Macaca fascicularis: one gene and its partner. The protein of the gene in region 2 purifies or fractionates together with the protein of the main gene of each other region. This does not show direct contact. Links are inferred from orthologs where the notes say so. Each region holds a gene or a part of one and is shown on either strand. Other genes may lie near its edges. The genes, in order: RBM25 and PRPF40A.

Region 1 (4,317 bases), on a different chromosome or scaffold from region 2:
GAAAAAAAAAAAAAAAAAAGTATACCAACTCAGAAAAATCGGCAAAATCTAAGAACTGTAGATTAGGTATTTTATCAATGTTAGTTTCCTTATTTTGATTGTTGTACTGTTGTTACATAAGACTAGTCCTAATTTTTAGGAAATACACTTAAGTATTTATGGGTTAGGGGGCATCACATCTGCAACTTACTAGCAAAACATTTCAGAAGAAACCTATGAAGAGAAGAGAAGGATAAAGCAAATTGGCAAAATGTTAACATTTGAGGAATCTGGTGAAAGATATCTGAGATTTCTTTTGTACTATTCTTGCAACTTTTTTTTGTAAATTTGAAATTATGTCTATATAAAAAGTTAAAAGCCAATACCAATAATTCTGGGTAGTGGAATTTTGTTCTTCCTTTAGTTTCAACAACTTTCAAATTTCAAAAAAAGGTAGAAAAGCTATTTAAGAAGAATCAAAAATCCCTTTTGTGAACGGCAGTGGTAGTGTTTGAAAAGTCAATCAAGAAATCTCTAAAGCAAGATGTTAAGATGCATATATGAGGCCGGGCGCGGTGGCTCACGCCTGTAATCCCAGCACTTTGGGAGGCCGAGGCGGGCGGATCACAAGGTCAGGAGATCGAGACCACGGTGAAACCCCGTCTCTACTAAAAATACAAAAAATTAGCCGGGCGCGGTGGCGGGCGCCTGTAGTCCCAGCTACTCAGGAGGCTGAGGCAGGAGAATGGCGTAAACCCAGGAGGCGGAGCTTGCAGTGAGCCGAGATCGCGCCACTGCACTCCAGCCTGGGCGACACAGCGAGACTCCGTCTCAAAAAAAAAAAAAAAAAAAAAAAAAAAAAAGATTCATATATGATTCCTTTGCTTCCAAAGCTATAAAATAATTTAATTTTTCACTAAATCATGTGTAAATAAGAAAACTAAACTGTTAATTTGTCTGTGGACAAAAACATAACTTGAAAATTCCAAATTCCTGTTAGGTCTGAAATAGTTAGCCAATGTTAACATGGACTAGTTTTACTTTAAAAATACATTCAGAAGGCCAAGCACGGTGGTTCGCGCCTGTAATCCCAGCACTTTGGAAGGCCAAGGCGGGCGGATCACGAGGTCAGGAAATCGAGACCATCCTGGCCAACATAGTGAAACCTCAGTCTCTATTAAAAATACAAAAATTAGCCAGGCGTCGGGGCGCGCGCCTGTAGTCCCAGTTACTCAGGAGGCTGAGGCAGGAGAATCGCTTGAACCCGCGAGGCGGAGGTTGCAGTGAGCCGAGATCGCGCCACTGCACTCCAGCCTGGGCAACATAGCAAGACTCTGTCTCAAAAAACAAACAAACAAACAAACAAACAAAAATTCAAGAATCAGGGTTGGACTCTTACATTTTATTGAAAATTCTTAAATAAAAAATTATGTCAATATAGATTTAAATGCTTACTATGTGTTACCTGGATATCGCACGAAGGATTTTACATAACGTTTTTCTCAATCTCCAACCCCAATAACGTATAGATATTACTATCAATTCATTTTACAGAGGAACAAAAACCAAAGCTTAAAAAGAAAAAAAAGAAAAACCAAGGCTTTAAGTTAAATGAATTAGAATAGTGTAAGATTCACGTGAATCATGAATAACTTACGACCAATTTAATCCCTTTAAAGTCCTCTGAACGTTTTTGGAAACGGCCTTTAAAAAAATTAAAAGCTCCAAAGACAATACAAAAATTGTTTATACATTACTGCCCACGGCCTAATACACAATACTTCACACTAATACAGCAGTAGGGTGCAACAGAGGTCCAATCTCTTCCCTTCTCTTGGCTCCACTCTGCCCAGTATCAAAATGGCATTTCCATGGCAATACAAATCCATATTACATAACTTCCGAAAAATCTTCACAGTCCTACGTCTATTCCGGAAAACTGTATTTAAAAGCATGATTGACGACCAAAGAAAAATGAGAAAGTAACATTTTAACGTGGAGCTTAGTAATCGCCTAGAATGAATGGCGATATACAGTTTACTGCACCCTCCAATGCTCAAAGGAGGCAGGATGGCAAAATTCATGACCATCTTAAGCAAGCCAGGAGTGCTAAAAAGGTAGGTATTAGCTCAATTCCAAGGGGGTGGGGCCCAGTTCGCTTGGTGGCGGGCTCTAGATGGCCAAAGAGGAAGGGAAAGATATCCGTTGGTGGCCAGCACCTCGCTAAAAAGGGTGGGTGGAGGCTAACATCAAGGCAACTGCTGGGGCCAGTGCCCCAGGCCCGAAAACCTACTGTGGGGCTCCCGTAAGCAAGGGGGCTCAGGGAAGGGCTCCCCAGGGGCAGACCGATCGTTTTGGGTCTAACGTGGAGCCCAGGAGGGGCAGAGACGATTCACTGCGCGGCGGAACGTGGAAGGGAAAGGGAAAGCGGGCGACAATGCAAGACGGAAAGCTCAAGTCATAGGTCTGGCCTCCACGGGCTCCAGCTGGGCCCACAGGTCTTCCAGGCCTTACAGAAGAGGAGAAACCAAGCCTCGTGCCGACCCCTCCCCCACCCCCGCCTCCGCGCCCCCCCCCTTATCTCTACCCCACCCTGGCGCTTTCGCAGCCACCCCGGCTTTTCCTCCTCCACCAGCTGAGGCACCCGGTCTCCCGGTTTCCACACGCGTTCAGGGACACAAACTCACCCGCCGCTGAAAAAACGGTACTGCCTTCGCGGCCTTCTAGAATCCAGGTGACCAGTGCGCTCCACTTGTTCAAGATTTCTGCCCGCCGCTCGCCAGGGAGACACGGGTCCGAAGCGCCTACTCTCACAGGCCGCAAATACAGCCGCGCTGCGCGGGGAGCTGCTGGAGGTCTTCCTCTTGCCCGGCGTGCACTGCGCCGGGGGCGTGGAGCGCGGAACCATAGAGAAGAACGTATATAGATCGTCTCCCCTGTTGACTCTGACTCACCAAGCCGAGACGAATAACCATAGAGAAGCAGCGTCTAGCAGCTACTAGAAAGGCCCGAACTGTAAATTATGACCCACACTGCCATGTTTGATTGGAGCCGACTGAATCTTACGACTACGGGACGCCATCTTGAGGTCATGATTCCGGCTGGGCACGGCGCGAGGAGTGTTAGAGGATTTCTCACTTTTCGTAGTTTTTCGGGGTGTAGAACCTTGCTTTGTGATTACTGGAGGTTCGAGGAACTGATAACTGGGCCCTATACGCAACCTCAGTGTTAAACCCCAAGTGTTGTTATAACAACTACTCGAGATCTAGAAGTAATTGGCAAAGGCTGTGGAGGTTTTTTGAAAAGCAAAAGCTTATGGGTAGTTGTAGGGCCGGAGGTGGCTAGAAGATGTTTGGAAAAACGTGAAAAGTCCTGTAATACTAGTTAACACAGCTTTCGTTCTGTAATCTAAACGTGCTGAAAGAACTTAGCTTAAGTTAATGAAAATGAATAAAATCAATCATAAATGATTACGTTATTCCAATTGTGGACCTTATAGGCAATATCTAGTTATACGCCTTTCTCAACTGCTTGCTTCTAGGAAGGTATAAAACGTATTCAGTATAAAGTTATTGCCTCCCTGAGTTCCTGGTGCTGTGCTAAGTGCTGGAAGTATGAAGGCAAATGGAAGTGACATTTGTTCCTGTCCTGCAGGAACTGTGAACCAGGTGAAATAGATGACAAACTCTGCCCATCCTAATATAAAATTGAAACATACCTACACACTTCCTGCCTGCCTCTCCTACTTAATTTTACTCTAAAGTACTCATAACCATCTATCATAACATACATTTTTCTAACTGATTTTATGGTCCGTCACTACCCCCACTAGAATGTGAATGTAAGCAATGCGTGGATTGCCGGTTTTGTGCAATAACAGGTCCCGGTACATAGCAAGCGCTCAATAAATATTCGTAGAGTGAAGGAAATGATTACCGGCCAGGCGCGGTGGCTCACGCCTGTAATCCCAGCACTTTGGGAGGCTGAGGCGGGTGGATCACCTGAGGTTAGGTGTTCGAGGCCAGCCTGGCCAACATGGCGAAACCCTGTCTCTACTGAAAATACAAATATAAGCAGGTGGTGGCAGGCCCCTGTAATCCCAGCTACTTGGGAAGCTGAGGCAGGAGAATCGCTTGAACCCGGGAGGCGGAAGTTGCAGTTAGCCGAGATGGCATCCTGCACTCCAGCCTGGGCAACAGCAAGACTCTGCCTCAAAAAAAAAAAAGAGAAAAGAAAAGAAAAGAAATGATTAACGGCCTGGCGCAGTGGCTCACGCCTGTAATCCCAGCACTTTGGGAGGCCGAGGCAGGCAGATCATGAGATCAGGAGTTCGAGACC
Region 2 (4,590 bases):
TCCTGCAAGCAGAATCTTTTGGGGCTGGTGTCTTTGAATAAAGGTTTTTTTTTTTTTTTTTAAACAAAATTAAGGGCAACATTCCAAATTAAAAAAAAAAGAGGAAAATCACTTGACATTAAGCCCTTCTACTCTTAAGGTTAAGTAAAAAGAGACAGACACATAGCAAGCTCCTTTTCCCACTGCAATTTCACCAATAACTTTAACCATGAAAGCTTAAACAATTATCAAACAGTACTAATTAGCAAAAGATCACATGAAATTGGCTTCCAAAATATTTTGTTAGCCTAAATTTTTGATGATTTATGGAAATACTCAAATGGAAATAACCCAGCCACCTAAAGATCTATATAGAACTTAACATGGAGCACAAAATTACTCATGGTAACTGAACCTGTTACCTTTCTTAGATGCTTCTCTAGAAACTCAGTTCTACCGAAATCACTGAATCAGCATTAAAACCTTTTGATCCAAATCACTTCTACAAAATGTCCATTTACAATTTATGCTAGAGATGGAAGGGACAGCTCATAAGCAGGAGTGTAGAAGCAATAAGCATTAAAAAAAAATAGTGTAAGTGGAAAATGAAGTACCTACTGGCACTGTCCTATGAAGAATCAGAATTATAGAGCACAAACCCCCCACCCTCCCTCACTCTCCTCCAACACACACAGAGGAAGATATTTCAGGAATAAAATTCGCTCTAAACCAAAACAATTGCTATTTTCAGATTCTATTTATTTACATGGTCTACCAAAATCAGTTATGTTGCTGTATCAGATAATATTTACTTTTAGACCATTAACTTCAATTGGCATGGTTGAAAAAATAATTATTAAAAATAAAAGCCTGGACGCACACTTTACTTTTAAGTAATAATAAAAAAAAAATTCTTAGTTTTGAGGTAATCAGTAAATTTCTCAGGAGACTTTTTCATTACATTCAAATTTCCATTACAGTCATGATTCAACATTTGGCTTATTTAAAATTATTCGGGCATAAACTAATCCTTAAACAGCTATAACTATTGACCTAGATTTTGAAATCTTGACAGAATACCTGAGGCAAAAACAAATAAATAAATGCAAAATAAAATAAAAGCATTCTTACTTGTCCCATTGGTGGCCCTCCCATAGGGGGCATCATCTGTGGCATCATTCCATGAGGTACAGGAGGCATATTCGCTCTCTGACCCATAGGGTGCATTCCCATTGGGGCATAATGCATGCCAGGGTGCCCCATCTGAAAAACAGCGAACGTTTTTAAATGAGCAAATAATACTAAACGCTTCTCAAAAATCTCATTTCAACAAATCAGTTATCTGAAGCAACCTAATATTAAGCTTATGCATAATAATGTCACTGGATTAATCTATACCTTGTTTTAAACAAAATGCATTCTGCTAGTATTTAAAACGAGCTTGCAAATTCCGCAACAAAACGGGAAAAGTTAAGATGATTACTGGACAGCTGGATCATAGGTTTTCTCTTTTTTTTAAGCATTGACTTAATCAGCTACTAACTGGCTTGCTAAGCTTGAAGGATACATATTGAATACTAATCTTAAAACTGTTACAGTGAAAACAACAATTCTTCTATTTCATGCAAATATAAAAAATAGCCAGCTATTGTTATTTTATAACACTACTGATTTTAAACTTTAAAATGCTCTATCATATTAACTCAGGTGAAAGTCAGTCTTATAAAACACAAACAGTAGTGCCACCCAGGGACAATTCACTCCTAACAAACTTATTTCCTAACATAACCTTTAAGACAGGTAAAATTCCTTCTGTCAAAAATACATTTTTAAAGACTGAGGTTCTGTTACTCACGGACACTAAATGCAAACAACTAATTCATCCCTTTCAACGCAATTTAAAAAGACAACTACTTTCTTTACCGATGAGTCCATTGTTCCATGTTTTAAATTAAAACCAGCTAATTATCTCCTGTCAATTGTCCTAACAGTTCCCCATGCAGACGACCCCACAAGTAATGAAAACAAATTTTGGCAGCCGCTGTTAAAGTCTTACAGAATCAAGCCCCTCCCTCCCCCTTCCAGCTAAATCGGGCCTAAAGCTCCAAGACGCTCACCCCGCCCAAGAGCCAGCACCTTCACCACGCATCTGTCTAGGCCAAGCCTACGGGGTACTTCCAGGGTCTCACATCCTTCTTTGTGCATCCCCACCCTCCACTTCTCTCCCTCACAACATATCCCACCATCTCGAGTTCTTCCTTCGTCCACTCTTATCTTCTTCTCCTTTCGGAGAAAGCTTCCTGTTTCTCTCACTCCGTTTTTCATTGTGCCGCCTTCCCCCTGCCCCACTGATCCCTTACCGAGGGCCGTCTCCTCAGGAAGCCGTCAGCAGAGACCCAAGAGCCGGAGCAGAGGCTTGAGCCGGACAATCTCCGCTCCCCGTCCCCAGGACCCTGCGAGGGAGGATGGCTCTCCATTTCACTCACCATGAGGCCTCCACGTTCAGCTCCCGTCCCCGGCCTCATCGTCGGGCTCAGACTGCTCCGCCGGCGGCCACTGCCGCTACACATACCAACAAGAAGCGATCTGAGTGGCTGGCGCCCACTGGGGCTAAAGGTTAAAGGCTGCCCTGCGCTACGGGGCGGGATCAGCGAGGCCAACAGGCTGACGGGCTTCCCCGCTGTCCAATCAGAATGCGCGGCCGACACGCAACTCTGCGGCGATTCGCCCGCAGCCTCAGCCTCACTCGGCGTCGCCTGCATGGGGCGGGGGGAGGACGGAGGAAGTTTCTGCGCCGAGTCCTCCGTCGGGAAAACTCTACCAACTTCCCCAGGGGAAGGGAAGACAACCGTGTCCCAGCTTCCCGAGCTTAGACCGCCTCACCCCGTAGGGGGTGGGGCAGTGGGGTCTGCCACCTTCCCCCTCCCCGCCCGAGTTACGTACGCCCCACAAACCTGAGGCCGCCAGGGGTAGGGTGGAGGGGGCGGGGGTAAGCAGCCTCTAGTGTTAGCGGTGGCTGGGACCGAATGCGCGCGCGCAGTGCTCGAGGCGGAGGGGAGGGGGCGGGGAAGGCGAAAGGAGGGGTTCCGAGGAGAGGGTGCGAGCTCGGTACGCACCAGGTGGAGAGCGCGCGCCTGGGTGGAGGAGGAAGGAGGCGTGTCGAGTAGCGTGAGGGAAGTTGTGGTACGGGTGGGGAGAACCACACTAAAGGGAGATGGGGTGAGCAGTGAAGGCACCGCGAGAGTACCAGGCAGAGAGCTGCCCTTTCTTAATAGGGGAACCTGGAGAAGAGTGTGAGCGTAGAGGGGAAGAAGGGAGAAGGCAAATAGGTTCGTGAATGTGTCGAAGGCGCGGGCGGGCGCTAGGACCCGGCGTCGAAAAGATGCGGCTTTGGGGCTGTCGGGTCTCGCGCTCCCGTTGGTGACGCGGCAGTGGCGGAGGTCTCCGGCAGGGATGAAGCGCCGCAGGGAGTGGATACTCGGCCGCCTTCGGCCTCCGCCCACTTCTCGCTGCGCGCTTTCCTGCTCCCCCTTCCGGCTACAGCCCTGGGGTCGAGCTCTGGTCCAAGCGCATCCCACCTCTCCTCAGGCCCTACGACTTCCTTTGCAACCCGCCGCCCAACCTTGCTCTCCGTGGTTTACCCCTGGGTTCTGAGGCATGGTGGTAGCGGCCACGGCCGCGGATTGGCTGTTGCGGACCCGGGGCGGGGCAGGTGGGAGAGGCTCATACTCCGCGGGTTTCGCTGTGCTTCGCGCCATGTCGTTAGCGGAGAGCGGGTGGCGGTCGGCTCTGCGGCGCCGCCGTCCCGGGACCCCGGGCCCTGTGGCTGGGCCAACATATTCCTCCTTTACTCAGGGGGACAGTTGGGGTGAAGGCGAAGTCGACGAGGAGGAGGGATGCGACCAAGTGGCCCGCGACCTGCGGGCGGAGTTCTCGGCTGGGGCGTGGTCAGAGCCCAGAAAGGGCTCGCTGCTCCCGCCGGACGGGGACGGGTCGCCTGTCCTGCCAGATAAGCGCAATGGTATCTTTCCCGCGGCCGCGGGCAGCAGAACCCAGCCTCGGCGGTGGCCGGTCCAGGTCCTTTCTATTCTCTGCTCGCTGCTCTTCGCCATCCTTCTCGCCTTCCTCCTCGCCATCGCCTACTTGATCGTGAAAGGTATTGAAGCCGAGGCCTTGAAAGTCTGTCCAGAGTAAAGTTGAGTCAGGGTGTGGCTCTTGCCACCACCCTTCTCCCTTCGTGCTGCCTAAGCCCGCAGGGTGGCAGCTGCTTTCACCCAGAGTCCTCATTTGCATCTTACTTTGCTTTCCAGCCCTTTTGTAAGTGGAGCGTCCTGATCCGTGATCAGGAGACCCATTTTTAAAAAAGATCTTTTGATTAAATGGGTACTCTTGAAGAAATATCTTCAAGTCCTTAAACACGGGGGATGAAATACTGTCAAGATTAAACAAAAGGCGAAACACCCACCATTAAAAGGAGACTGTGAAAAGTGCATATAATTAAAATAGGCTATCTATGTTCAGTGGCCTTCATCCACAAATAAAGATGTGCTGTCCACCAATTCCTCTACACAGAATCCTGAGGGACAAAGATTTTTATCGCATAGTCCAAAT

The links.
Region 1: the proteins of PRPF40A (region 2) and RBM25 purify together in Homo sapiens (affinity purification with mass spectrometry; 5 studies listed by BioGRID and IntAct, with this or other methods). This does not show direct contact. The link is inferred for Macaca fascicularis from reciprocal best matches to the Homo sapiens genes PRPF40A and RBM25.

Annotation. Positions count from the first base shown.
Region 1 is NC_088381.1:140,948,204-140,952,520, reverse strand, and holds the start of RBM25 (RNA-binding protein 25), read right to left. Parts: upstream 2,842-4,317; 5' UTR 2,667-2,841; intron 1-2,666. UniProt on the Homo sapiens protein: RNA-binding protein that acts as a regulator of alternative pre-mRNA splicing. Involved in apoptotic cell death through the regulation of the apoptotic factor BCL2L1 isoform expression.
Region 2 is NC_088386.1:48,223,569-48,228,158, forward strand, and holds the start of PRPF40A (pre-mRNA-processing factor 40 homolog A), read right to left. Parts: upstream 2,925-4,590; 5' UTR 2,742-2,924; coding exon 2,466-2,741; coding exon of another isoform or gene 2,340-2,465; intron 1,243-2,339; coding exon 1,111-1,242; intron 1-1,110. Other genes in the region: ARL6IP6 (ADP-ribosylation factor-like protein 6-interacting protein 6), read left to right, coding at 3,736-4,135.